4 linked regions of the Anolis sagrei genome follow. The protein of the gene in region 1 interacts with the protein of each later gene in a biochemical or structural test. Links are inferred from orthologs where the notes say so. Each region holds a gene or a part of one and is shown in the gene's direction. Other genes may lie near its edges.

Region 1 (6,979 bases):
GCTATCCTTCCCAATTTGGTGTCATCTGCAAACTTGATGATCCTGCCTTCTAACCCTTCATCTAAGTCATTAATAAAGATGTTGAACAGGACCGGGCCCAGGACAGAACCTCATTTACATCATTCCCCACATCCAAAGCACCCTGATCCTGAAACAAAATTACAGGCTGAACTACAACAAAAACAATAAATAAGACAAATAAGATTTCTGATAACAAAGCCGACTCATCATTCTTGTTCATCTCGTGGTGCCAGAGTGCAGTTTGTTCAGCGCCTTCCAAGTCGCCCAGTTTTCTGTGTGCCCAGGGGGGAGTCTCTCATTTGGTATCAGCCATTGATTGAGATTCTGGGTTTGAGCCTGCCACTTTTGGACTCTCGCTTGCTGGGGTGTTCCAGCGAGTGTGTCTGTAGATCTCAGAAAACTATTTCTTGATTTAAGTGGTTAATGTGCTGGCTGATACCCAAACAGGGGAAGAGCTGGAGATGTCACTGCCTTGGTCCTTTCACTATTGCTTGCTACTTCCTGGCGGATGTCAGGTGGTGCAATACTGGCTAAACAATGTAATTTCTCCAGTGGTGTAGGGCGTAGATTTCATTAATCCTTTAATGAAAAGTGATTACCGTAATATTGATTCGCAACTCAAAGTAATTCTTGCTGATTCCTTATGCCAATATGTTTCTCTCTCTCTGAAACCTGAATTTGCCTGAAGCAAACAGTCAGGACCAAATGAACTGAGTGCTTCTACTGTACAGGGCTGCCCTCCAGATAACACATTTATGTACGTTTGCTATAATAGCTGGCAGACGTCCCATGGGAGGCTTTGGTTAGCCACTGTTGACCAAGATGACCCTTTGATCTTCTCTAGCATGGCACTTTTAAAGGTTTTTGATAGTTTAATTGGTTGATTTTGTGATAAAAATGTGCTCTTTGCCAAAAAGCAGAGGATTTGGGGACAGAGTACAGTGAACACACAGAAATCGTATGCTTCAATAGGACAAAATCTTACCAAGAAGCCAAAATGCAATTGTTGATGCCAACTGGGTCAGCAGATAGGTTCTCCAGCTCCACATTTCACCAGCAAATCTGAATGGCTGGCACTTGTTCATCCAAGCTGTTTAGGCTCTTGGGGATTTCAAAGTACTTTGAAGTTGGATCTGAAGAATGTTGGCTAATTAATGGAAGTATAACTTGCTGCGAATGTTCAGAGGGACTCATCAGCACTGGCAATAATAAAAACTGTGGACTTCATCACACTGAAGCAAGGAAGTGTTTGGAAGAGCTCAGTCTGACTCAGTTTTGAAATGAAACTGATGATTTCCCTACTTTCATCACACTGTAAAATGTATCCGTGTTACTCAGTTGTACTCAGCATTTTTTCAGTAGATTTGCCATCACACTGTAATCACTAGGCACTGCTCACCATCCCTCCTCTCTTTGAAATGTCAGCTGTTACGTGTCTTCAATTTCGGAAGCAGGGGGGGGGGGGAATGTGGCAATGTCCTCTCAGCTGCCCCACAGAGAAGGGTGTAGACCTTGGAAAACTATAACTGCCAGGACTGCATAATATGGAGCTATGGTATTGAAAGTAAGATCCAACTGCATTCATTTCAAAGTGTATATGCACCAAGAGAAGGGCACTGACCTTGGAAAACTATAACTCTCAGGACTGCATAATATGGAGCTATGGAATTGAAAATAAGATTCAACTGCATTCATTCAACAGTGTAGATGCACCAAGAGAAGGGTTGACCTTGGAAAACTATAACTCCCAGGACTGCATAATATAGAGCTATGGTATTTAAAGTAAGGTCCAGCTGCATTCATTTCATGGTGTAGATCAGTGGTTCTCAACCTGTGGGTCCCCAGGTGTTTTGGCCTACAACTCTCAGAAATCCCAGCCAGTTTATCAGCTGTTAGGGTTTCTGGGACCCACAGGTTGAGAACCATTGGTGTAGATGCATCCAGAGAAGGTTCATGGACCTTGGGAAACTGCAATTCCCAAGAGCAAGTCATGGAGACATGGCATTTAAAGTAAGGTCCAACTGCATTAATTTCACAGTGTAGATGCACCAAGAGAAGGGTATCGACCTTGGAAAACTATGACTCCCAGGACTGCGCAGCATGGAGACAATGCATAATTAATAATAATAATGATATTTAGTCTAAGGATATGTCTGAACTGGAATGCAATTTAGGGCCACTTTAACTGCCATGGCTCAATACTATGGGATCCTGGGATTTATAGTCTGGTGAGGCACCAGCACTCCTTGACAGAAAATGCATCAGACCTTGTAAAACTATAGTTCCTATTATGCCATAGCACTGGTCCCTGGCTCTTAAAGTGGTGTCAAACTGCATTCATTTTACAACGTAGATGAACCCTAACAGGGAAATAAACTGGTAGCGTACTTTCTTAGATTAAAGACGCATCCTGTCGAATTAAGTAAATTTGTCCCCATTTAAACTGTCATGGCTGAAAGTTATAGACTCAAGACACTGGCAGATATAGCCTTCGGTTTTCTCTGCCAAAGAATGTTGGTGCCTCCCAAACTACAACTCCCATAAATCCACAGCATTGAGTGGCAGGAGTTAAAATGGGGCAAAACAGCATCAATTCTAATGTAGATGCACCTTTAGGCCTCATCTACACTGCCACATAAAATCCAGATTGTCTGCTTTGAACTGGATATGGCAGTCGAGACTCATATAATCCAGTTCAAAGCAGATAATATATGGCAATGTAGATGGGACCTCAGGGCCCTTCCACACAGCTATCTAACCCTGAATATCAAGGCAGATGATCCACAATATCGGCTTTGACCTGGGTTATCCCAGTCCACATTGTCATATAACCTGGTTCAAAGCAGATAATGTGGGATTTTATACGGAAGTGTAGATAAGACTTCAGGACCCTTCCCCACAGCCCTATAACCCAAAGCAGATAATATATTGCAATGTAGATGGGACCTCAGGGCCCTCCCACACAGCTAATCCTGAATATCAAGGCAGATATATCCCAGAATATAAAGGCAGAAAATCCCACAATATCTGTTTTGAACTGGGTTATCTGAGTCCACACTGTCATATAACCCGGTTCAAAGCAAATAATGTGGATTTTATATAGCAGGGTAGAGGAGACCTCAGGGCCCTTCCACACAGCCATATAACCCAGAATATCAAGGCAGATAATCTACAGTATTGGCTTTGAACTGGGTTATCTGAGTCCACACTGTCATATAACCCGGTTCAAAGCAGATGTGGGATTTTACATGGCAGTATAGATGGGACTTCAGGACCCTTCTCCACTGCTATATAACCCTTAATATCAAGGCAGAAAATCCCACAATATCGGCTTTGAACAGGGTTATCCGAGTCCACACTGTCATATAACCCGGTTCAAAGCAGATAATGTGGGATTTTATATGGCAGTATAGATGGGACTTCAGGGCCCTTCCCTACAGCCATATAACCCAGAATATCAAGGCAGAAAATCCCACAATATCGGCTTTGAACTGGGTTATCCGAGTCCACACTGTCCTATAACCCGGTTCAAAGCAGATAATGTGAGTTTTTTATCAATGCACCCCCAACCTGAAGGGGGCTCCCAGACCCGCTTTGGGCCCGATCGGCGCCCCCTGCGTGTGCCTCCAGCCACGTGTTTACGCCTCTGCCTCTTCCCCACGCATCAGAAGCCACGTGCTCCCTTCCAGGTCCAGCCGCCCGCCGACTACATTTCCCAGGTAGCCGAGCCGTACCATTCCCGCTCGACGAAGGGGGGAGGTCGTATTCTGAGTCGTCCCGTTCTGCTTCCCGGGGACCTCTTCCCGACAAAGGATGGTGGGGGTCAAAAGGGGCCGGCGTGGTCCTCAAGTGCACGGGAAGGGTTTTCTCTAGCGGGGAGGCAGAGCGCGGCGCTGCAAGGGGGAGCCCAAGAAGAGCGGACACCCCTCTGTGGGGGAATGGTTGCGCCCGACCCTCTCCTCGCAGCAGCAGCAGCAGCAGGCGGCGGCCGGGGCCCGCAGAAGCAGCCCAACAGGAGAGGCAGGCAGGCAGAGAAGCGGGAGAAGGACCCCCAGTTGGAACGCAGGCGGCTCACAGAGGGGGGGTGAGAGAGACCCGGAGGGGGTGCTGCTCTGAATGGGAGGGGGTGATGAGGAAGGGAGGGGGAGGGAGCGCAGAGGGAGCAGCCCCCTCCCTGCCTGGAAAGAAGGGGCGGGGCTGGGGAGGGGGAGGGGGAAGGGCATTTTGGGAATGGGGGTGTAGGGGGTCATGGGAGAGGAGCACCCACAAAGATGCATTCATTGATGGATTGTGTGGGTTCCTTTCCCCACCCCCCACCCCACTTTCTCGAGTGGGTGGAACAAGGGACATATTTTGCATATTTAATTTTTGCATATTTAATTAATTTAATTTTGGGAAATCCATATTTGATTTTGGAATTCCCCAAAGGACTTGATTTTAGGAGCATCTATCTGCATGCACACACTATGTGCATTGTTGGGTTGCTGTGAGTTTTCCGGGCTGTATGGCCATGTTCCAGAAGCATTCTCTCCTGACGTTTCGCCCACATCCACAGCAGGCATCCTCAGAGGTGGTGAGATCTGTGCATTGTTGGGTTGCTGTGAGTTTTCCAGGCTGTATGGCCATGTTCCAGAAGCATTCTCTCCTGACGTTTCTCCCACATCCACAGCAGGCATCCTCAGAGGTTGTGAGGTCTGTGCATTGTTGGGTTGCTGTGAGTTTTCCAGGCTGTATGGCCATGTTCCAGAAGCATTCTCTCCTGACGTTTCACCCACATCAGGCATCCTCAGAGGTTGTGAGGTCTGTGCATTGTTGGGTTGCTGTGAGTTTTCCAGGCTGTATGGTCATGTTCCAGAAGCATTCTCTCCTGACGTTTCACCCACATCCACGGCAGGCATCCTCAGAGGTTGTGAGGTCTGTTGGAAACTAGGCAAGTGAGGTTTATATTGGTAAAAAGTAAAGGTTTTCCCCTGACGTGAAGTCCAGTTGTGTCCGACTCTGGAGTGTGGTGCTCATTTCCATTTCTAAGCCGAAGAGCCGGCGTTGTCCATAGACACTTCCAAGGTCATGTGGCCAGCATGACTGCATGAAGCGTCGTTACCTTCCCACCAGAGTGGTACCTATTGATCTACTCACATTTGCATGTTTTCAAACTGCTAGGTTGGCAGGAGCTGGGGCTGACAGCGGAAGCGCATGCCACTCCCCGAATTTGAACCTGCAACCTTTCAGTCAACAAGCTCAGCAGCTCGGTGCTTTAACCCACTGCACCACCGGTGGCTCCTACCCACCGGGGGCTCCTAGAGCAGTGTTTCTCAACTTGTGGGTCCCCAGGTGTTTTGGCCTACAACTGCCAGAAATCCCAGCCAGTTTACCAGCTGTAAGGATTTCTGGGAGTTGAAGGCCAAAACATCTGGGGACCCACAGACTGAGAACCACTGTCCTAGAGGTTTATATATCTGTCTTTTATTCGTGTTGTATTTTGAAATAGTCATATGGCTGGTCAGATAAATAAATTATTATTATTATATATCGGTGGAAGGTCCAGAGTGGAAGAATCAACTCTTGTCTGCTTGAGGTCAGTGTCCAGGTTTCAATGGTCCACTTTCATTTATTTATCGTGTTTGGAGCGAACCAAAACAGTTGTATTGCATTAAACACAAACAAACAAACAAAACGCAAAGTTTGCAGACTTTGTATTCTATTAAATGTCCTTTGACCAGTAGCTGGCCACTTGGGTAGCCTCTGGTGTTGCTGCAAGAAGGTCCTCCATTGTGCATGTGGCAGGGCTCAGGTTTGTATTTTTTTGGTCGTGTCAGGAGTGACTTGAGAAACTGCAAGTCGCTTCTGGTGTGAGAGAATTGGCCGTCTGCAAGGATGTTGCCCAGGGGACGCCCGGATGATTTGTTGTTTTTATCATCCTTGTGGGAGGCTTCTCATGGCTCAGGTTACATTGCAGTAGGTGGTCTGTGGTTTGCTCTTGGCCACCTTGATTAGCATTGAATGGCCTTGCAGTTTCAAGGTCTGGCTTCTTACTACCTGGGGTAATTCTGTCTTAGAAGGTGATTAGCTGGCCCTGATTGTTTCTTGTCAGGAATTCCCCCTTTTTTAGTGTTGTTCTTTATTTACTGCTATGATTTTAAGAGTTTTTTTTTTAAATACTAGTAGGCAGATTTTGTTCATTTATCCATTAAATACTAATCAAGCTGGTCAATTGAAATGTTCACACCTAGCTCCAATAGGCAAGAGTTCTTTCTCCCACCCTGGACTTTCTACAGATATAAACCCAATTTTCCTAGTTTCCAACAGAACTCACAACCTCTGAGGATGCCCGTCATAGATGCAGGCGAAACTTCAGGAGAGAATGCTTCTGAAACTGGGGGTCCTTCCACACAGGATATCAAGGCAGAAGATCCCACATTATCTGAGTGTGGACTCAGATAACCCAGTTCAAAGCAGATATTGTAGGATTTCCTTGATATTCTGGGATACAGGGCTGTGTGGAAGGGCCCATGGTCAATACAGCCTGGAAAACTCACAACAACCCAGTGATTTCGGCCATGAAAGCCTTCAACAATACATATGTGTGTTATGTTTGGAGTGCTGATTATTCTAGGTAAGGAATTCCACGCCATTCCTTTGGACCTGATAGGGGAAGTAGACTCTGTTAACTGAAACTCTCAAGCAACCAGAAAATCAGTTTTTAGTAGGAATGTCTGTTTAAGTTCATTTGGTTTTTTATTTCTCTCTGTTTCATTTTCATGGCTGTATTTCAATATTACTATCATGTCGATACAGAGTTTATGACATAGTCTGAAAAAGAGTGAAAACATGGCTTTAGGATCAAGCCTTTGGTGAATAATACAGTGCAATAGATGGAATTATGTGCAGTGACTATTGGAACAGCCTGGACTGTTCTTGCAGATAGGATGGTTTATAGTAGTAATTGTAATGTTTTCTA
Region 2 (7,070 bases), about 100 Mb from region 1:
CGTTCTATTACCACTGTATTTTGTACCATGTGTTTTGGTGTATGTATTCTATGTTGAGGTGTTTTCACTGTGTTGGATCCCACCTTGAGAGGAGAGGCGGGTAACAAAAATTCTTCCTCCACCACAACCTCCTCCTCTGCCTCCTCTCCTTCTCCTACAATAGCCCTCAGAGTTGGTTCCAGGACACACACACATTGATACCAAAATCCATGGATGTGCAAGTTCCATTATACACAATGTTATAGTAGAAAAGCATTCCTTATATAAATGGTAAAACCAAGATTTTGTCTTTTGGAATTAATTTTTAATATTTTCTAGCCATGGATAGTTGAATCCATGGATATGGAGAGCCAAATGTACAGTATTATACTGACAATTTTATTTCCAGTTTCCCTTTTAATTATGGCCAATGTGGACTTTAGCTTTTTTATAGCAGCCACAGTCTGATTTTGTTGAACTTTGTACCATAAGGGAAGATCCTTTTCTGAGTCAGTTGCTGACAGCTCATGATCCCATCAGTATATATCACTCAAACCATAGTATTTTCAGTTTCTATGTATGATTCAGAAAGTTAGATAGCAAAGGAAGATAATATGGTGAATTCATTTTAAATACAGTCCTGGAGAAAAGGTCTAGGGAAATCGTTTAAAAAAGCCCTAGAACAAATCAAACCTAAACTTTCACTGACAACTAAAATTACCAAGCTGTGGTTGTTTTATTTTGGATGCATCATGAGACAATATGACTCACTGGAAAAGATAAGGAGCTATGGTGGCACAATAGGTTAAACCCTTGCGCTAGCTGAATTGCTGACCTGAAGGTTAACGGTTCAAATCTGTGAGATGGAGTGAGCTCTCATCTGTCAGCTCCAGTTTCCCATGCGGGGACATATGAGAAGCCTCCCACAGATGGCCAATTCTCTCACACCAGAAGCGATTTTCAGTCACTTCTGACACACAAAAATTTGGAAAACATTATAGTAGAATCATCGAATTGGAAGAGATTACATGGGCCATCTAATACAACCTCCATAATACAGAAAAAGCACAATCAGAGCACCCCAACAGATAGCCATCCAGCCTCTATTTAAAAGCTTCCACCACACTCCAAGACTGGGAGTTCAACTGTTGGTCAGGAAGTTCTTCCTAATGTTCAGGTGGAATCTCCTTTCCTGTAATTTGAACTCATTGCTCCGAGTCCTAGTCTCCAGGGCAGAAGAAAATAAGCCTGTTCTCTCTTCCTTATGACATCCTTTCACATATTTATACATGGCGATCATGTCTTTTTTCAACTTTCTCCTCTGCAGGCTAAACATGCCCAGCTCTTTAAGTTGCTCCTTATAGGGCATGGTCTCCACATTTTTGATAATTTTAGTCACCCTCTTCTGGACATGTTCCAGATTGTCAATATCCCTCTTGAATTGTGGTGCCCAGAATTGGGCACAGTATCCCAGCTGAATCTGACCAGAGCAGAATAGAGAGGCACCATTTCTTTCCTTGATATAGACCAGTGGTTCTTAACTTGTGGGCTGTGGACCACCAGTGGGCCGCAAGGTCAAAAATCTGGTTTGCATGCCTTCTTCCTCTTCATTTATTTATTATTTATTTTATTTCTGCTCCTTTCACATTCCTTCCCTGTCTTTGACCATGGCATATGTTCTATATCAGAAATTAGAGCTGATATGGTCTATCCAATGCAATTTTCTGATCTTTAATATTAGTCTTGGCTTGTTTGCAAATATATATTTAAAGTAAAGTGTTCCCAATTTAAACATGTGGTCTATTACATAAACACCATCAGTTTTGGAATTGTATTTTATTATGATGATGTATACAGTTAATTGTTCTGGCACTAAAAAAATCTATTGAAATATAATTGACTGATGTACTTGTACTTCTTTTTGTATGTAAATTATCATTAGATCTAGTTTTGAACAAAAGGCAGATAAGAATAAAACGATTGCACCTTTAAATTGATTCGAAGACCTTGCTTATAACATCAAGTTACTTGCAACAGGATGCAGATTCATGCTGAACTTTCTGAGGCCTGGCCAAAGACATTTTGCTGTCTGAATCAGAGTACCAAAATAATAATAATAATAATAATAATAATAATAATAATAACAATAATAGTACTTCTGTGGTTGTTTTGCTTCCAACTACAGGCCCATGCCCTGGTTGCTCAGCAGGTCCTGGTTTCTGTAGCCCACTTGTCAACGGGTGCCCAGGAGAAGCACTCGCCGCGGCCCTTATTATCCTGGGCAGCGACCAAGCCAGTCTAAATTTCTTTAGAGTTTGTTTTACCATATTTAAATGGGTTGGATGCACTTAGTTCTACTTCTCAGTTGAGCCCACTCTGGCTTGGTTGAACCTACTGGTAGTTTACACTATGACCAGCACAGAAAATGAACACGTCAAGCTACTTTGGGACTTCCGAACTCAGACTGACAGAGTTTTGGAGCACAATATGCCTGACCTCACGATCGTGTTAAAAAACAAAGTATGGATTCTAGAGCTTGCAATCCCAGGTGACAGCAGGATTGAAGAGAAACAACTAAAAAAGCTGATACAATACGAGGATTTAAAGATCAAACTGCAAAGACTCTGGCACAAACCAGTAAAGATGGTCCCAGTGGTGATTGGCTCACTGGGTACAGTGCCTAAAGACCTTGGTCTCCACTTAAACACAATAGGCACTGACAAAATCACAATCTTTCAGCTGCAAAAGGCCACCGTACTAGGATCTGCATGCATTATTTGCCGATACATCACACAGTCCTAGACACTTTGGGAAGTGTCCATGTGATCGATTACAACAGCCAGCAGAGTGATCTTGCTTGCTGTGGACTCATCTTGTTGTGTTTCTAATAATAATAATAATAATAATAATAATAATAATCGATCAGCATACTGAGTGCAGTGCTTAAAGACCATGGCCTCGACTTAAAAGCAATAGGCACTGACAAAATCACCATCAGTCAGCTGCAGAAGACCACCCTACTTGGATCTGCATGCATTATTTGCAGACACATCACACAGTCCTAGACACTTGGGAAGTGTCTGACGTGTGATCCAATACAGTAGCCAGCAGAGTGACCTTGTTTGGTGTGTACTATAGAATCATAGACTCAAAGAGTTGGAAGAGACCTCATGGGCCGTCCAGTCCAACCCCCTGCCAAGAAGCAGGAATATTGCATTCAAATCACCCCTGACTGAGAAGGCTGAGAGGAGATATGATAGCCATGTATATATATGTGAGAGGAAGCCACAGGGAGGAGGGAGAAAGCTTGTTTTCCGCTTCCCTGGAGACTAGGATGCGAAACAATGGCTTCAAACTACAAGAGAGGAAATTCCATCTGAACATGAGGAAGAACTTCCTGACTGTGAGAGCCGTTCAGCAGTGGAACCCTCTGCCCCGGAGTGTGGTGGAGGCTCCTTCTTTGGAAGCTTTTAAACAGAGGCTGGATGGCCATCTGTCAGGGGTGATTTGAATGCAATATTCCTGTTTCTTGGTAGGGGGTTGGACTGGATGGCCCTGAGGTCTCTTCCAACGCTTTGATTCTATGACAGATGGCCATCCAGCCTCTGTTTAAAAGCTTCCAAAGAAGGAGCCGCCGCCACACTCCGGGGCAGAGAGTTCTACTGCTGAACGGCTCTCACGGTCAGGAAGTTCTTCCTCGTGTTCAGATGGAATCTCCTCTCTTGTAGTTTGAAGCCATTGTTTTTGTGTTTATAATAATAATAATAATAATAATAATAATAATAATAATAATTTGCTGATGTACTGCAAATCATTCAACACACCTGCCATGAAATCCATCTAGATTTTGCCCATCCCATTCAGATGATGGTAAGACAAGACATTTTTTTAATTGTTTAAGGATTGTGTGAAACTCTGCCTTAAAGGGTAATAAAGATTTCAAAGGCCAACCAAAGCAACTCTTTCCACCAGCAGGGCGGAGGAGTTGTTGTTGTTGTTACATTGGAATGGAATGAGGGGGTTGGACCGGATGGCCCTTGTGGTCTCTTCCAACTCTATGGGAAAAGACATGATGTCGCTGCCTCTCCTTCCCTGAACGCATGGGAATGTCGAAGCGAAGTTCCTGGGAGGAGAGGGAAAGCGCCTTCCGCCGCCCTGCCCTCCGCTTCCGCAGTGGTACGTTCCTAAGGCTCCCTGCCCTCCCCCCTCCAAGTAGGCGCAGTGGTACGGTCCCGAAGGGAGGCTGCCTTCCTCCCTCCCTCCCTCCCTCCCGCTGGCGGAGGGAGACGCCATTGCGGAGTTGTTTGTGAAGCAGCGGAGCAGGAGGAGGCGGCGGCAGCGGACGAGGAGTGAGCCGCCCTTGGTGCCGAGGCTGTTTGAGGCCGAGCGGGGATTATTTTACCACCGGGAAAAGGGGAGACCATGTCCACTCCGGCCAGGCGGAGGCTCATGCGGGACTTCAAGAGGCAAGTGCGGCCCTGCTCTCCCCCTGCCCACCTTCCTTCGTCCCCTCTGCTTTGGGCCTGTTCTGGGGCTGGCCCTCCTTTCCTTAAAGGGCCCGCGCCTCCCTGGGGGTCCTGGCTCCCCTGCTCCCCCCTCTTTCCTTTCGTGTCTAGGAAGAAGGGGGCCGTCTGGATTTTGCCCCCAAGCTGGTGAGAGGGCAAAAAGATTGAGAAGTTCCCCTCTTTCCTTCCTTTTCCTCTCCTGTTATGGAAGTAGGCATCAGGATACATTTGGAAGAAGGAGAAGGGTTCAGCTAGAGCAGGCATGGGCCAACTTGGGCCTTCCTCCAGGTGTTTTGGACTTCAACTCCTACAATTCCTAACAGCCGCTAGGCTGTTAGGAATTGTGGGAGTTGAAGTCCAAAACACCTGGAGGAAGGCCCAAGTTTGCCCATGCCTGAGCTAGAGACAGAAGGTGTAAAGGATGCCCCCACCCCCACCCCCCAAAAAAATAAAGAAAGAGAAGGAATTGTCTGTACTTTTGGGGCAATGGCTCAAACCATTGGCTTCTCCCTCTGGGCCTTGGGCAAGGAATGCCTTTAGAACAGGTGTGGGCAAACTTGGGCCTTCCTCCATTTGTTTTGGACTTCAACTCCCACAATTCCTAACAGTCTACCAACTGTTAGGAATTGTGGGAGTTGAAGTCTAAAACCCCTGGAGGAAGGCCCAAGTTTGCCCACACCTGCTTTAGATCAAAACTGAGTGGAAATGGAGTGGGTTGGCCTTGGCAGAAATACTGATCTGGTGGAAGGAGCTGGTTTGTTTATACCATGTTGGGGCATCCTGCCTCAGTCGAGGCCAAACCTTTAATAAATACCCTTTGCCGTCTTGGGAGACTGGAAGCAACACTTGCCCTCTTCGCCATCCCATGCTGAAGTTGTTACATTAAAGGTACAGTCCCCTTCATGGAAATAATTGCATCTATAATAAAGGAAGGGGTTTTAATCTGCTCAGAATACAGACTGTACAGTTTACCAGAGTTTCGCTTGCGATGCTCTCAGTCAACAGATCTCTGAGCATTTTGCCAATGCAGTGCTTCAAAAATAAAAGGAGCTATTGTAAGAGACTCAGGTTACCCACTGAGCCAACCCCGGAGCTGTAAATAAAACTTCTTCCAGTCCAGTCACTGCTGCTGCCGCCTCCTCTTCTTCTCATCCTGAATCTTTTAATCCCCACATATGTGCTCCAGAGTAGAGTTTCAGTGTATTTCAGTCTTGCTGCATTATATCCCTTTAAGCTTATACAGAATTAGTATAATAGTTACATTTTGGAAATTGAAACTCTTCAGAAAGTGGTTTGGAAGATGGCAGAGAAAAGAATAGGGAGTTTTGCTGTATAGCCAGCTTGTAGTGTTGGGGGAAAACTGGTTATGCTGAAACTGCCATTTCATGGCATGTAGAAAAATGTGCTCTTCACAAGGAAGCCTGTTGATTTTCCCTGTTGTATGTGGAGAGTTGTGTCCTATGTTTCTTTTAGGCTGCTTCCTATAGTTGGAAGTCCTGTCCTTCTCTGCTTCTTAGTTCTCACTGACATCTGGAGAGGATATGCTGAAGTTAGCAAAAATAATGGCCATTTTCTGTTTCTCAAGTAAGCTGCCAGGAAAAGCAAGCTCTCCAAAAGGACTTTCCTGGCACTGCAGATGGATTCCGCAGCGAAACATGTTACAGTTCCTCCAAAATCACAATTTATAACCTGGACACGTAAAAAGATTTAGATCGCCACATTAATGGTGTAACTGTCTCCTTGTAATTTAAACTGACTAGTCAGCAAGTTCGGCTGCAGGATGCCAGTCTTTGTTTTAGGCTGGAATTGGCAAGACTGCCTTTATGAATGGGCAAATATTTCAGATTGGGATCATGCAGTGGCTGCTGAGTCAGCATAGGGCAGCGGATGCTTGCCTCACTCCCAGTACATTAAATGGGGTTATGCCAACACAACAGTATGAGTTGTGTTGTTAACAGAGCACAGTGACAGTATGCAGCATTATTCTAATCCCAAACATGGTTTTTTCTTGAGAACACTGAGGGTCCTTCCACACAGCCCTATATCCCAGAATATCAAGGTAGAATATCCCACATTTTCTGAGTGTGGACTTAGATAATTCAGTTCAAAGCAGATAATGTAGGAATTTCTGCCTTGATATTCTGGGATATAGGGCTGTATGGAAGGGCCCTGGGGCTTATTTCGGGTATTGGTTATTCTATCACATTTATTATCCATGCTGAATTAATATTACCTAACTGCTTTTAATAGCTATTTGAGTATATCTAGAAAGCTCAGGAGTTACAGTTATAACCTTTGGCCTTGAACTCCCAAAAATCCTAACAGATGGTAAACTGGCTGGGATTTCTGGGAGTTGTAGATAAAACACCTGGGGACCCACAGGTTCAGAACCACTGTTCTAAACTATTTTCTAGATAGCTGGATTTGGCAGAGTGACCAAAAAAAGAGGGAGAAAGTTCTCAAGTCAAAGCTCTGGGATAATTGAAACATGCCCTATGACTCTTTTAAGTACTATTATTTGTTCCAAACATCTTGAATTAACAGGAGAAAGAACATTTTGGTCAAGTTATTTCATCTAGGCTGGTA
Region 3 (7,790 bases), on another chromosome or scaffold:
TAAAGCTGAAGTCCTTTGGCCACATCATGAGGAGACAGCAAAGCCTAGAGAAGACAATGATGCTGGGGAAAGTGGAAGGTAAAAGGAAGAGGGGCCATCCAAGTGCAAGGCGGAAGAATGGTATCCTTGAAGGGACTGGACTCACCTTGAAGGAGCTGGGGATGGTGACAGCCAACAGGGAGCTCTGGCGTGGGCTGGTCCATGAGGTCATGAAGAGTCGGAGACGACTGAACGAATGAACAACAACAACATCTATCTATCTATCTATCTATCTATCTATCTATCTATCTATCTATCTATCTATCTATCCATCCATCCATCCATCCATCTATCTATCTATCTCTTCTATATATAATATATATATAAATGCTCTGTGCATAATGAGTACCTTAAAAACAAAAGAACCAATGAACGAAATCACACTAAATTTGGCAACGAAACGTCTCACAATGGAAGGAGTGACCATCACTCAAAAAATTATGATTTTTCCTTTGGGAGTTGTAGTTGCTGGGATTTATAGTTCACCTTCAATCAAACAGCATTCTGAACAATGGAATTGAACCAAACTTGGCAGACAGAACTCCCATGACCAACACTAGTAGGGTTTAGTGGGCATTGACCTTGAGTTTGGGAGTTGTAGTTCACTTACATCCAGAGAGCACTGTGGACTCCAACAATGATGGATCTGGACCAACTTGGCACAAATATTCCATATGTCCAAATATGAACACTGGTGGAGTTTGGGGGAAATAGACCTTGGCATTTGGGAGTTGTAGTTACTGGGATTTATAGTTCACCTACAATCAGAGACCATTCTGAATAAACCCCACGAATGACAGAACTGGGGCAAACTTCCCACACAGAACCACCATAACCAACAGAAAATACTCAAGGCCACCCAGTCCAACTCCCTTCACCAGGGCAAGAAAACATCAGCAAAGCCCTCCTGACAGAGAGCTACTGAGCCATAGATAGAGATGGATATATATGATTCACACACACACAGATAAAGTATTATAGATTTGAAAGGGACTCCTAAAGAAGGACAATTCTATGTTGCATGTTCCAGAGTAAGCAAACCAGACAATCTCTACGTCAACACTGTCAAACATCAAGAAATACTATTTACCCACAAGCATAAAGACATTTCATAGATTAGAAACCAGCACTTTCTAATTACTTGATTTTCCATATCACCAGACTGGGACACAGCAACGCGTGGCAAGGGATCTCTAATTATTATTATACTAGCTGTCCCCTGCCATGCATTGCTGTGGCCCAGTCTGTTGATCTGGAAAATAAAGTAATGAGAAAGTGTTGGTTTCTAATATATGTAATGTCTTTCTGCTTGTGGGTAAACAGTATTTCTTGTTGTTTCTTTGTCAGTGTTGATGTGGAGATTGTCTGGTTTGCCTACTCTGGAACATGCAACATATCATAGTCCTTCTTTAGGGGTCCCTTTCAAATCTATGATACTATATCTGTGTGTGTGTGTGTGAGAATCATATCTATCTATCTATGGTTGGATGGCTCTTTGTCAGGAGGGCTCTGATTACGTTTTCTTGCCCTGGTGAAGGGAGTTGGACTGGATGGCCTTAAGTATTTTGCGTTGGTCATGGGGGTTCTGTGTGGGAAGTTTGCCCCATTTCTGTCGTTTGTGGGTTTCAGAATGGTCTTTAATTGTTGTGAACTATAAATCCCAGTAACTACAAATCCCAAACGTCAAGGTCTATTTCCTCCAAACTCCATCTGTGTTCATATCTGGGCATATGGAATATTTGTGTCAGGTTTGGTCCAGATCCATCATTGTTTGAGTCCACAGTGCTCTCTGGATGTAGGTGAACTACAACTCCCAAACTCAAGGTCAATGCCCACCAAACCCTTCCAATGTGTTCTGTTGGTCATGGAAGTCCTGTATGCCATGTTTGGTTCAATTCCATCATTGGTGGAGTTCAGAATGCTCTTTGATTGTAGGTAAACTATAAATCCCAGCACCACCAATTCCGAAATCTCAAAATCAATTTTTTTGAGTGCAGGACATACACTGGGTTGTTAGGTGTCTTGTGTCCAAATTTGGTGTCAATTCCCTCAGTGGTTTTTGAGTTCTGATGGTAGCACGAACGAACATTACATTTTTATTTATATAGATTATTATTTTAGAAGAGAAGCTACCCCTGACCTTTATTATTATTATTATTATTATTATTATTATTATTATTATATTTTGATTATATTTATTATTATTATTATTATTATTATTATTATTATTATTTGGTTCACTCCTGACACTATAAATAAATATTATTATTATTATTATTATTATTATCATCATCATCATCATCATAGAAAAAAAGATCCCGCTGAGCAACTATATTTATTATTATTTATTATTTATATTTATTTTAGAAGAGACGCTTCCTCTGCACTATTATATTTATTATTATTATATGTATTATTATTGTTTCAGAAGAGAAGTTTCCCCTGCACAATTATATTATATTTATATATTTAGGTTCTTGTAGGTTTTTTCGGGTTATAGGGCTATGTTCTAGAGGCATTTCTCCTGACGTTTCGCCTGCATCTATGGCAAGCATCCTCAGAGGTAGTGAGGTCTGTTGGAATTAGGACAATGGCTGGGGTGGGGCAAGGAGCTCTTCCCTGCTGGAGCTAGGTGTGAATGTTTCAACTGACCACCTTCATTAGCATTTGAAGGCCTGCCTGAGCCTGGGAAAATCTCTTGCTGGGAGGTGTTAAGATGTGCCTGGTTGTTTCCTCTCTGTTGTTTTGCTGTTGTGATTTTAGAGTTTTTTTAATACTGGTAGCCAGATTTTGTTCATTTTCATGGTCTCTTCCTTTCTGTTGAAATTGTCCACATGCTTCTTGTGGATTTCAATGGCTTCTCTGTGTAGTCTGACCTGGTGGTTGTGAGAGTGGTCCAGCATTTCTGTGTTCTCAAATAATAATCTGCTGTGTCCAGGTTGGTTCATCAGGTGCTCTGCTATGGCTGACTTCTCTGGTTGGAGTAGTCTGCAGTGCCTTTCATGTTCCTTGATTCGTGTTTGGACAACGCTGCATTTGGTGGTCCCTATGTAGACTTCTCCACAGCTGCATGGGATACGGTAGACTCCTGCAGAGGTGAGAGGATCCCTCTTGTCCTTTGCTGAACGGAGCATTGGTTGGATTTTCTTGGTGGGTCTGTAGATTGTTTGTATGTTGTGTTTCCTCATCAGCTTCCCTATGTGGTCAGTGGTTCCCTTGATGTCTGGCAAGAACACTTTTCCTCTGGGTGGGTCTTCGTCTTGACTCTCGTGGCTTCTTCTCGGTGGTCTTGCAGCTCTTCTGATGTCTGAGGTGGAGTCTCCATTGGCCTGGAGAGCCCAGTTGAGGGGGTTCAGTTCCTCTTGGAGGAGGTGGGGTTCACAGATTCTCTTTGCACGGTCTGCCAGAGCTTGAATGGTGCTTCTTTTTTGACTTGGGTGATGGTTGGAGTTTTTATGTAGATATCTATCTGTGTGTGTGGGTTTTCTGTAGACGGTGTGACCCAATTGTGGATCTGGTTTGCGGATGATGAGGACATCTAGAAAAGGCAGTCTTCCTTCATTTTCTTTTTCCATGGTGAACTGGATGTTTGGGTGGATGCTGTTGAGATGTTCCAGGAACCTGTTGAGTTCTTCTTCTCCATGGCTCCAAATGGTGAAGGTGTCATCCACATCTCTGAACCATATCGTGGGCTTTTTGGTTGCTATCTCCAGGGCTTGTTCTTCAAAGTGTTCCATAAATTTATATATTTATTATTATATATTTATTATAATTATTATTATTTTAAAAGAGAAGCTTCCCTGCACAATCATATTCTTCTTCTTCTTATTATTATTATTATTTCAGAAGAGAAGCTTCCCTGCACTATCATATTCATTATCATTATTATTTTAGAAGAGAAGCTACCCCTGCACTATATTATTATCACAATATTTTGATTATCATAGAAAAAGAGTTCCCCCCCCCGAGCAAATATATATATATATATATATATATAATATTTATTTTAGAAGAGAAGCTTCCTCTGCACTAATATATTTGCTATTATTATATGTATTATTATTATGTTTCCCCTGCACAATTATATTATATTTTTATATTTATATTTATTATTATTATTATTATTATTATTTTAGAATAGAGGCTTCCCTGCACTATCATATTAATTATCATTATTATTATTATTATTATTATTATTATTATTATTATTATTCTATTTATTATTATTAGCTCCCCCTGCAGTATTCTATGCCATGGCTATTATGGTTCCTTCCACCTATTTCCCCCCCTTTATTCACCGCTTGTTGGTATCGCTCAGAGAGGATGACGTCAGCGCTTTGAGAGCTCTCTTTCCAAGCCTGCGGAAGCCACGCCCCTTTGTGTCCTTCCCGCGATGTGATTCGCTGGCCGCTAGCCCCGCCTCTTCCCTGTGTATTATATTATTTTAGAAGAGAAGCCATCCCTGTACTATTATATTATATATTATATTTATTATATTTATTATAATAGTTATTATTGTTATTATTATTATAGAAGAGAAGCTTCCCCTGCGCCATTCTATGCCATGACTATTATGGTTCCTTCCCATTTCCCCCCCTTTATTCGCCCGCGCCTTGGTATCGCCCAGAGCGGATGACGTCACGGCTGCGAGCGCTGCCTTCCCAAGCCTGCGGAAGCCACGCCCCTTTGTGTCCTTTCCGAGATGTGATTCGCCGGCCCCTGGCCCCGCCCCTTGCCTGTTTATTGTCCCATTCCGTGCCCCCCTGTTTGGCGAGAGCAGTGGTGCGGTCCGGCGTGGAGGGAGCAGGCGCGGCGGGCGCGACCACTGCGGGATTAGGGGCGCCGGCCGCGTCGGGAGCGCCAGTGTCGAGGCGAGGAGCCGAGCGAGCGGAGTGCGAGCGACGCCTGGCCGAGAGCCCGCCATGTCCACGCCCGCCCGGAGGCGCCTCATGCGGGACTTCAAACGGTCAGCGCGGCCGGGCGGCGAGGGGATTGGGCCCGGGAAAGGGAGCGAGTCGGGCCGAGACGGAGAAGAAGGAGCCCTCAGGAGAGACAACATGGCGGCCGGGCGGGGGAGCGCTGCGCCAACTGCGTAGCCACCGCGCTCTTGGCGTAACGCGCGCCCGGCAACCAATGGGGAGCCCCGCACCACAGCGGCTTACGCACTTGGCGTAGCCTTTCCTTGCTAGGCCTTGCCACTCAGAGACTTCTTAGATGATTATCATTATCTCATTATTATTAGATTACTCAGCCTCTTATTGTTATATTATATTATTATTATCATCTTTATTTTATAATATTATCTTATAATTACTGTTATTATTGAGACTTATATAATATATCTCCTTGCTAGGCCTTGCCTTATATTATTATATCATTATTATTATATTACTCAGCGTCTTTTTATTGTTATATTATTATCAATCTATTATTATTATTAGGGTCTTATTTTATAATATTATCTTATTACTATATCATAATTATTATATTACTCAGCCTCTTATTATATTATATTATATTATTATTAATCTATTATTATTATTAGAGTCTTATTTTATAATATCATCTTATTATTATATCATTATATTACTCAGCCTCTTATTATGTTACATATTATCAATCTATTATTATTATTAGAGTCTTATTTTATAATATTATCTTATTACTATTATTATTGAGTCTTATATAATATGTCTCCTTGCTAGGCTTTGCCACTCAGAGACTTCTTATATTATTATTATTATTATTATTATTATATTATTAGAGTATTATTTAGAAGTCTCTTATAATATAAGAGACTTCTTACATTATTATATCATCATTATTATATTACTCAGTGTCTTCTTATTGTTATATTGTATTATTATTAATCTATCATTATTATGAGTCTTTATTTTATAATATTATCTTATCATTACTATTATTATTGAGTCTTATATAATATATCTCCTTGCTAGGCCTTGCCACTCAAGAGACTTCTTATATTATTATATCATTATTATTATTATATTACTCAGCGTCTTCTTATTGTTATATTTTATTATTAATCTATTATTATTATGAGTCTTTATTTTATGATATTATCTTATTATTATATCATTATTATATTACTCAGCCTCTTATTATTATATTATATTATTATCAATATATTATTATTAGAGTCTTATTTTATAATATCTTATTGCTATTATTATTGAGTCTTATATAAGGCCTTGCCACTCAGAGTCTTCTTATATTGTTATAATTATAATTGTTATTATATCATTATTATTATATTACTCAGCCTCTTCTTATTGTTATATTATATTATTATTAATCTATTATGAGTCTTTATTTTATAATATCTTCTTATTATTATATCATTATTATTACATTACTCAGCCTCTTATTATTATATTATATTATTATCAATATATTATTATTATTATTATTAGAGTCTTATTTTATAATGTTAACTTATTACTATTATTATTGAGTCTTATATAATATAACTCCTTGCTAGGCCTTGCCACTCAGAGACTTCTTATATTATTATTATTATTATTATTATTATTATTATATCATTATGATATTATTCAGCATTTTCTTATTGTTATATTATTAATAATCAGTTATTATTATGAGAGTCTTATTTTATAATACTATCTTATCATTTCTATTATTATTGAGTCTTATATATCTCCTTGCTAGGCCTTGCCACTCAGAGTCTTCTTATATTATTATTATTATATCATTATTATTATATTTCTCAACGTCTTATTGTTATATTATTATTAATCTGTTGTTATTATTATGAGAGTCTTATTTTATAATACTATCTTATCATTACTACTATTATTGAGTCTTATATAATATATCTCCTTGCTAGGCCTTGCCACTCAAGAGACTTCTTATATTATTATATCATTATTATTATTATATTACTCAGCGTCTTCTTATTGTTATATTTTATTATTAATCTATTATTATTATGAGTCTTTATTTTATGATATTATCTTATTATTATTATATCATTATTATATTACTCAGTCTCTTATTATTATATTATTATCAATATATTATTATTAGAGTCTTATTTTATAATATTATCTTATTGCTATTATTTTTGAGTCTTATATAAGGCCTTGCCACTCAGAGTCTTCTTATATTATTATAATTATAATTATATCATTATTATTATATTACTCAGCCTCTTCTTATTGTTATATTATATTATTATTAATCTATTATGAGTCTTTATTTTATAATATCTTCTTATTATTATATCATTATTATTACATTACTCAGCCTCTTATTATTATATTATATTATTATCAATATATTATTATTATTATTATTAGAGTCTTATTTTATAATGTTAACTTATTACTATTATTATTGAGTCTTATATAATATAACTCCTTGCTAGGCCTTGCCACTCAGAGACTTCTTATATTATTATTATTATTATTATTATTATTATATCATTATGATATTATTCAGCATTTTCTTATTGTTATATTATTAATAATCAGTTATTATTATGAGAGTCTTATTTTATAATACTATCTTATCATTTCTATTATTATTGAGTCTTATATATCTCCTTGCTAGGCCTTGCCACTCAGAGTCTTCTTATATTATTATTATTATATCATTATTATTATATTTCTCAACGTCTTATTGTTATATTATTATTAATCTGTTGTTATTATTATGAGAGTCTTATTTTATAATACTATCTTATCATTACTACTATTATTGAGTCTTAT
Region 4 (7,827 bases), on another chromosome or scaffold:
ATGAACATATGTATCTACTCATATATATATGAAGATAAATGTATATATATAATCATATGAACATATATATGAACACACACAAGGATATATATGTATGTATGTTCATATATGATCATATATAGATGGAGCGCCCGGTGGCACAATGGATTAAACCCTTGTGCCGGCAGGATTGCTAACCGACAGGTCAGCAGTTCAAATCCGGGGAGTGTGGGTTGAGCTCCCTCTGCCAGCTCCAGCTACTCATGCAGGGACATGAAATAACTCTCCCACAGGATGGTAAAACATAAAAAAAAAACGGGTGTCCCCGGTCAGCGTCCTTGCAGATGGCCAATTCTCTCACGCCAGAAGCGACTTGCAGTTTCTCAAGTTGCTCCTGACACAAAAAATAAATCATATAGATGCACATATGTATGTATGTATATATATATATTGCCTTGTGTATATTCATATATATATATATATGTGTGTGTGTGTTCATATGTAGAGGTGTGTGTGTTTATATATATATATATATACTATGTGTGTGTGTATATAGATACACCAGTATATTTAAAATGTATGGTCTATTTTGCGAAGCACCTGCCTCCAGAGAGCATACATGTGTGCTCGTATGTATATGTGTGTATATATACATACACAATCTATATAATAATGTTTGTTTGTGGGATTAACAGAACTCAAAAAGCACTGGAAGAAATTAACACTAAATTTGGACAGCATATACCTAACAACCCAATGTATGTCTTTCACTCAAACAATTGATTTTGTCATTTGGGAGTTGTAGTTGCTGGGATTTATAGTTCACCTACAATCAAAGAGCATTCTGAACTCCACCAATGATGGAATTGAACCAAATGTGGCATACAGGACTCCCATGACCAACAGAAAACACTAGAAGGGTTTGGTGGACACTGACCTTGAATTTGGGAGTTGTAGTTCACCCACATCCAGAGAGCACTGTGGACTCAAACAATGATAGATTTGGACCAAACTTGGCACGAATATTCCATATGCCCAAATATGAATATTTGGAGTTTGGGGGAAATAGACCTTGACATTTGAGAGTTCTAGTTGCTGGGATTTATAGTTCACCTACAATAAAAGAACATTCCGAACCCCACCAACGATAGAATTGGGCCAAACCTCCCATACAGAACCCCCACAACCAACAGAAAATACTGTATTTTCTGGTGGTCTTTGGCAACACTTCTGACACCTCCTCACAACCCCCTCCCCCCGGGGTGCTAACTCCCAGGTTGTGAAATGCTGCCTTAATGCCATCCAGTCCACCTCCCCTCACCAGGACAAGAAAACATAATCAAAGCCCTCCTGACAGAGAGCTATACAGCCATAGATATAGATATACATGATTCACACACATATATGTATATGACAGACATAATACCATAGATTTGAAAGGGACCCTTAAAGAAGGACAATGATATGTTACATGTTCCAGAGTAGGCAAACCAGGCAATCTCCACATCAACACTGACAAAAAAACAACAAGAAGTAGTTTACTCACAAGCATAAAGACATTACATATATATTAGGGGTGAATCCAGCAAAGACGGAGATCCTATGGCTGGGTTGACTGGGCAATGGGGACATCCAGTTGCCTACCCTGGATGGCAGGGCGCTACGCCCGTCATCATTGGTAAAGACTCTAGGAGTCCTTTTGGACCCTCTGCTGACGATGGAGGCCCAGGTATCCGCCGTTAGCAGAACCGCCTTCTTTCATCTGCGGCAGGCTAGACGGCTGGCCCCCTACCTGTCCAGGGACGACCTAGCTACGGTGATCCAGGCCACGGTCATCTCAAGACTGGACTACTGTAACGCCCTCTACATTGGCCTTCCTCTGTCGGTGATCCGGAAGCTCAAGTTGGTACAAAATGCAGCTGCTCGGCTTCTTGCGGGAATTCCGATGAGATGCCACATAACACCAATCTTACTACAGCTGCATTGGTTACCAATTGAGCACCGGATCACTTTCAAAGTGATGGTACTCACCTTTAAGGCCTTGCATGGTTTGGGGCCGATGTATCTGAGGGACCGCCTCACCCCCTACCAACCCCAGAGATCCCTCCGTTCTGAGGACCAAGATCTATTGGAAGTCCCCAGTGTCAAGACCTTTCGTCTAATAGCAACCAGACGCAGAGCCTTCACAGCAGTGGCACCATCACTCTGGAATACTTTGCCACCTGAAGTCCGTGCCTTGCGGGACTTACCAGCTTTCCGCAGGGCATATAAGACATACCTGTTTCGACAGGCTTTTAATGTTTGATATTGCTATTTTTAAATTGCTTTTAAATTTTGTTAGATTTTAGCCATTCTTGTGAGCCGCTCCGAGTCCCAGGGGAGTGGCGGCATATAAGTTCAAATAATAAATAAATAAATAATAAATTAGAAACCGACACATTCTCATTACTTTATTTTCCAGATCACCAGACTGGGCCACAGCAACGTGTGGCACGGGATGGCTCGTAATATTATTATTATTATTATTATTATTATTATTATTAACTTTGTATTGTCGAAGGCTTTCATGGCTGGAATCACTAGGTTCTTGTGGGTTTTTGTGGGCTATATGGCCATGTTCTAGAGGCATTCTCTCCTGACGTTTCGCCTGCATCTATGGCAAGCATCCTCAGAGGTAGTGAGGTCTGTTGGAAATAGGACAATGGGTTTATATATCGTGGAACGGCTGGGGTGGGGCAAGGAGCTCTTCCCTGCTAGAGCTAGGTGTGAATGTTTCAGCTGATCACCTTCATTAGCATTTGAAGGCCTGCCTGAGCCTGGGAAAACCTTTTGTTGAGAGGTGTTAAGATGTGCCTGGTTGTTTCCTCTCTGCTGTTTTGCTGTTGTAATTTTAGAGTTTTTTAATACTGGTAGCCAGATTTTGTTCATTTTCCTGGTCTCTTCCTTTCTGTTGAAATTGTCCACATTCTTGTGTATTTCAATGGCTTCTCTGTGTAGTCTGACACAGAGACATTGTTGGTGTGGTCCAGCATTTCTGTGTTCTCAAATAATATGCTGTGTCCAGGCTGGTTCATCAGGTGCTCTGCTATGGCTGACTTCTCTGGTTGAAGTAGTCTGCAGTGCCTTTCATGTTCCTTGATTCGTGTTTGGGCAATACTGCTGCGTTTGGTGGTCCCTATGTAGACTTGTCCACAGCTGCATGGTATACGGTAGACTCCTGCAGAGGTGAGAGGATCCCTCTTGTCCTTTGCTGAACGTAGCATTTGTTGGATTTTCTTGGTGGGTTTGTAGATTGTTTGTATGTTGTGTTTCCTCATCAGCTTCCCTATGCGGTCAGTGGTTCCCTTGATGTATGGCAGGAACACTTTTCCTCTGGGTGGAAACAACCAGGCACATCTTAACACCTCTCAACAAAAGGTTTTCCCAGGCTCAGGCAGGCCTTCAAATGCTAATGAAGGTGATCAGCTGAAACATTCACACCTAGCTCTAGCAGGGAAGAGCTCCTTGCCCCACCCCAGCCGTTCCACAGATATATAAACCCATTGTCCTATTTCCAACAGACCTCACTACCTCTGAGGATGCTTGCCATAGATGCAGGCGAAACGTCAGGAGAAATGCCTCTAGAACATGGCCATATATCCCAAAAAACCCCACAAGAACCTATTATTAACTTTATTTGTACCCTGCTAGCATCTCCCGAAGGACTCGATGCGGCTTACATAGGCCAAGGCCTCAAAACACAACACAACAATACAACACCTAAAGCAAATTAAAAACAGTTAAAGCAATATTAACAACAAGCAATAAACAATACATCAAGACACTATAAAACTGGGCCGGGCCAGAGTAATGGGTATTATTATTATTATTATTATTAACTTTATTTGTACCCCGCTAGCATCTCCCGAAGGACTCGATGCGGCTTACACAGGCCGAAGCCTCAAAACACAATACAATAGAAAACATAACACAAAAATAACAAAGCAAATCAAAACAATAAGCAAAAATAACGACAATGGCAGTACATCAAGACATTATTAAAACTGGTTCGGCCGGCGCAATGGGGTACAAGGGTTAAAAGTGCTGAAATGGCAGGAGGTACGTAGGATTAAAAGTGCGGTGTGCAGTGACGATTAGTTATGCTAAGGTGCTACTAGGACTTGGGGTGGGGATTCCTAGTCTGAGAAGGCACAACGGAACAGCCAAGTTTTTAAATTCCTTCTGAAAACAGCTAGAGTAGGGGCCTGTCGGAGATCTTTTGGAAGGGCGTTCCAAAGTCGGGGGGCCGCCACAGAGAAGGCCCTGTCCCGTGTCCCCACCAAGCGCGCTTGCGACGTGGGTGGGATCACGAGCAGGGCCTCCCCAGATGATCGGAGCGAGCGTGTGGGTTCGTAGATGGAGATGTGGTCACGCAGGTAGGGTGGTCCCAAACCGTTTAGGGCTTTGTAGGTGAGCACCTGCACCTTGAATTGGGCTCGGAAAAGATTAAAAGTGCTGATGTGACAGGAGGTATGTAGGATTATAGGGTAAGTGCAGTGTGCAGCAATCTTAGTTCTATTAAAGTGCTTCTGGGACTTGGTATTGGAGATTCCTAATTCTGGAAAGGCACAATTTTGGTCTATTTTACGAAGCGGGCACACACGCCTAGGAAACTTCTTCTGTGGGTTTGTTTCCTTCTGCCTCTTTGTTTTTCCTCCTCCACTTCCGGCTTCCTGCCGCAGGCTTTCTTTCTGGGAGGTGTAGTCTTCGGCTCCTTCTAGAGTCCCCGCCCCCTCCTACGGTCCCGCCTCCTATTGGCGGAGGCCTCGGCTGGCTCCTCCCCTTTCCCCCGCCCTCGGGACTACGCATCCCAGGCAACCCCGCTCGCGGCGGCGGCTGGTTGGCTGGCTGGCTGGTTGCTCGCTCGCTCTCTCTCAGCCTTGTTCTTCCCCTCAGCCTCCTCCGGCGGTGCTGTTCCTTCCCCAGCACCTACTGCCGCGCTCTCGTCTCCGCAGCCGGGCCGCCCCCGTCACGCGAGTCCCCGGCTTCGTTCGCGGCCTGCTTTGGAGCATGGCACGTCCGGCGGTGCCCAGCTCGGCGAAAGCGCTGCTCCTGGAGCTGAAGGGCCTTCAGGAGGAGCCCGTGGAGGGCTTCCGCGTCAGCCTGGTGGACGAAGGCGACCTCTACAACTGGGAGGTGGCCATCTTCGGACCCCCCAACACCCACTACCAGGGAGGCTACTTCAAGGCAAGCAGGCCTCGCACCCAGGGCTGGAGTGGATGATGATGATGATGATCAGGGAATATTATTTATTACCATTATATTACATAAGAATATTTATTATTATTATTATTATTATTATTAAGGAATATTATATTACACTGGAATATTTATTGTTATTATATTACATAGGAACGTTTATTATTATATTACATAGGGATATTAGTATAATATTATTAAGGAATATTATATTACATAGGAATATATTTTATTATATATAAATATATATATATAAAATTACACACCTTTATTTATATGTAACAAATTATTATATTGCATAGGAATATTAATTATTCTATTACATAGGAATTTTTGTTATTGTTATATTACATAGGAATATTTATTCAAAGGTAAATTACACATCTTTCTTTAATATATTTCTATTATATTTATATTCGTTTATATATATATAATTATATATATATATATGTATATATATGTATATATATATTTTATTCTAAGGTAAATTAAACACACCTTGCTTTATTTCTATTTAATTTATATTCTTATTATATTCAAAGCTAAAATATTATTAAATATATATTTAATATATTTAATATATTTATTTATATTCTTATTATATTCATATATATATATATATATATATATATATATAGGATCCCCTGGTTGCGCAGTGGGTTAAACCCTTGTGCCGGCAGGACTGCTGACCGAAAAGTCGATGGTTCGAATTCAAGTCCCATAGGCAAACCTCTCCATCACTGTTTATTTTTATCTCTCTTTTTAGTCTAGTCCCCTTTAGATGCTATTGTATAACCCCACTTCTGCTTTGAATCATATTATACTAATTCAGTGGGTCCCCAAGTGTTTTGGCCTACAACTCCCAAAAATCTCAGCCAGTTTACCAGCTGATAGGATTTCTGGGAGTTGAAGACCAAAACATCTAAAGACCCACAGATTGAGAACCACTGTACTAATTCCTAACCCACCCCTCCCATCTCATTTTCATAAAGACAAGACAAAAGCATGTTTACACCAATGATGAGTTTTGGGTCTTTATAATTCTAATCAATCCTATTGCGATGGGCCTATTATGAGTAACAAACATAAACATTAAAACAAAGCACCAAAACAACAGACTCTCGCCTGACCTCTTACTCACTGCCTGCTGACTTTTAATCAATTCCCTTTAAATGTGGTTGTATAATCTCACATCTGCTTCAAATAACATTCTACAATTTCCCGCAATAAACAAATACTAATTATCATAACTAGTGAATTAGTAAGTCCCAAATTTGCTGGTCGTTAGGCAAGTATTTCTCCTTTGTTGGCCTAGTTCGTTTGTCCAGATGCTACATTGGCTGTTGTTATACTATATAACAAAACATTTGGGGAGGGGGCAGGAGCAGGTATGGATCTGTTCTGGTTTGAATGTGTGATTTCCTGTTTAATTGTGTGGTCCTTACTTTGTAAAGAGTTGTTCTACTCCAGAAACTTTGTTTCCGTGGCTGCCACAACGTATGTTGAATTGGTTGAATCTCAGTGATATATTCATTGTATAACTAGAGAATGCTTTGAGCCACTAGAGCAGGCATGGGCCAACTTCAGCCCTCCAGGTGTATTAGACTTCAACTCCCACAATTACTAACAGCTGGAGGGCTGAAGTTTGACTGTGCCTGCAGTAGTGGGATGGGTGTCCCTTCCAAACTGATGCCATTTGCCCTGGGGTTGATCTGAGCGGCCAGGAAGTCCGACCGGCTGGACGACCTGATGACGGGGCAAAAAAAACGCCGCTGGGGAGGTTCTCAGTCGCAACTTCACTTCTGGAGGTAGGAAAACAGGTCCCAGTGACTCACCTGACCCTATATACCTTGGTAGCCCAACTTGCAAGGCGGGTCCTGAGTGCACGCCTTGGGCAGACATTGGCCTGACCTCCTAACCTAGAGGAAGGCTCCTGAAATGGCATTGTTGTTGTTACATTATTGTTATGGTTGTTGTTACCATTATCTATTTATATCTTCCCACCCAGTGTGCAATAATAACATGAAAGCACAGTGGGTCCTGCCAAAGTAATACTGTCTGCAGGTAGTCCTCAAGTTACAAACAGGATACGTTCTGTAGGTTTGTCCTTAAGTTGAATTTGTTTGTAAGTTGGAACGAGTACATTTTCTAAGTGTAACTCCAGCAATAAATAAATAAATCTATATGTGTGTGTGTGTGTCTGTGTATAGGATCGCATAGAGGAGGATGAACCCCCCCGTGGTGTTTGTGTTACTGTCTATTTGTTTGTAAGTCGAAACAAGTACATTTTCTAAATGTAACTTCAGCCAAATTTATATATATATGCACACGTATATGCATATCTATATGTATATTTAGCTTAGGATCACATAGAGGAGGGTGAACACCCCTGTGGTGTTTGTGTTACCTTCTGTGCCCCTGTTCGGAAGATTTCACCTCACTTTCTGTCCCTGTGAGAATGGGAGTTTGGGAAATTTGGCTTGTTGTGGAAACAAGGATCGAGGATAAAGCTTCAGTGGAGACCCCTTTCCTCCCGATAATAACTCTTCCAGGAGTAAATTTCCCTTCTGGTAAGTAGATTTCTCTCACTTCCTGTTGCCTCAGCCCTGT

What was found.
Region 2: of the proteins of UBA1 (region 1) and UBE2B, one has a biochemical effect on the other in vitro, tested with the Homo sapiens proteins (10 studies listed by BioGRID, with this or other methods). The link is inferred for Anolis sagrei from reciprocal best matches to the Homo sapiens genes UBA1 and UBE2B.
Region 3: of the proteins of UBA1 (region 1) and UBE2A, one has a biochemical effect on the other in vitro, tested with the Homo sapiens proteins (6 studies listed by BioGRID, with this or other methods). The link is inferred for Anolis sagrei from reciprocal best matches to the Homo sapiens genes UBA1 and UBE2A.
Region 4: of the proteins of UBA1 (region 1) and CDC34, one has a biochemical effect on the other in vitro, tested with the Homo sapiens proteins (7 studies listed by BioGRID, with this or other methods). The link is inferred for Anolis sagrei from reciprocal best matches to the Homo sapiens genes UBA1 and CDC34.

The regions. Positions count from the first base shown.
Region 1 is NC_090022.1:193,378,017-193,384,995, reverse strand, and holds the start of UBA1 (ubiquitin-like modifier-activating enzyme 1), read left to right. Parts: upstream 1-3,973; 5' UTR 3,974-4,105; intron 4,106-6,979. UniProt on the Homo sapiens protein: Catalyzes the first step in ubiquitin conjugation to mark cellular proteins for degradation through the ubiquitin-proteasome system.
Region 2 is NC_090022.1:91,998,870-92,005,939, reverse strand, and holds the start of UBE2B (ubiquitin-conjugating enzyme E2 B), read left to right. Parts: upstream 1-4,047; 5' UTR 4,048-4,401; coding exon 4,402-4,445; intron 4,446-7,070. UniProt on the Homo sapiens protein: E2 ubiquitin-conjugating enzyme that accepts ubiquitin from the ubiquitin-activating enzyme E1 and transfers it to a E3 ubiquitin-protein ligase. In vitro catalyzes 'Lys-11'-, as well as 'Lys-48'- and 'Lys-63'-linked polyubiquitination.
Region 3 is NC_090030.1:3,051,146-3,058,935, forward strand, and holds the start of UBE2A (ubiquitin-conjugating enzyme E2 A), read left to right. Parts: upstream 1-4,770; 5' UTR 4,771-4,961; coding exon 4,962-5,005; intron 5,006-7,790. UniProt on the Homo sapiens protein: E2 ubiquitin-conjugating enzyme that accepts ubiquitin from the ubiquitin-activating enzyme E1 and transfers it to a E3 ubiquitin-protein ligase. In vitro catalyzes 'Lys-11', as well as 'Lys-48'-linked polyubiquitination.
Region 4 is NC_090034.1:52,346,091-52,353,917, forward strand, and holds the start of CDC34 (ubiquitin-conjugating enzyme E2 R1), read left to right. Parts: upstream 1-4,815; 5' UTR 4,816-5,028; coding exon 5,029-5,205; intron 5,206-7,827. UniProt on the Homo sapiens protein: E2 ubiquitin-conjugating enzyme that accepts ubiquitin from an E1 ubiquitin-activating protein, and catalyzes its covalent attachment to other proteins by an E3 ubiquitin-protein ligase complex. In vitro catalyzes 'Lys-48'-linked polyubiquitination.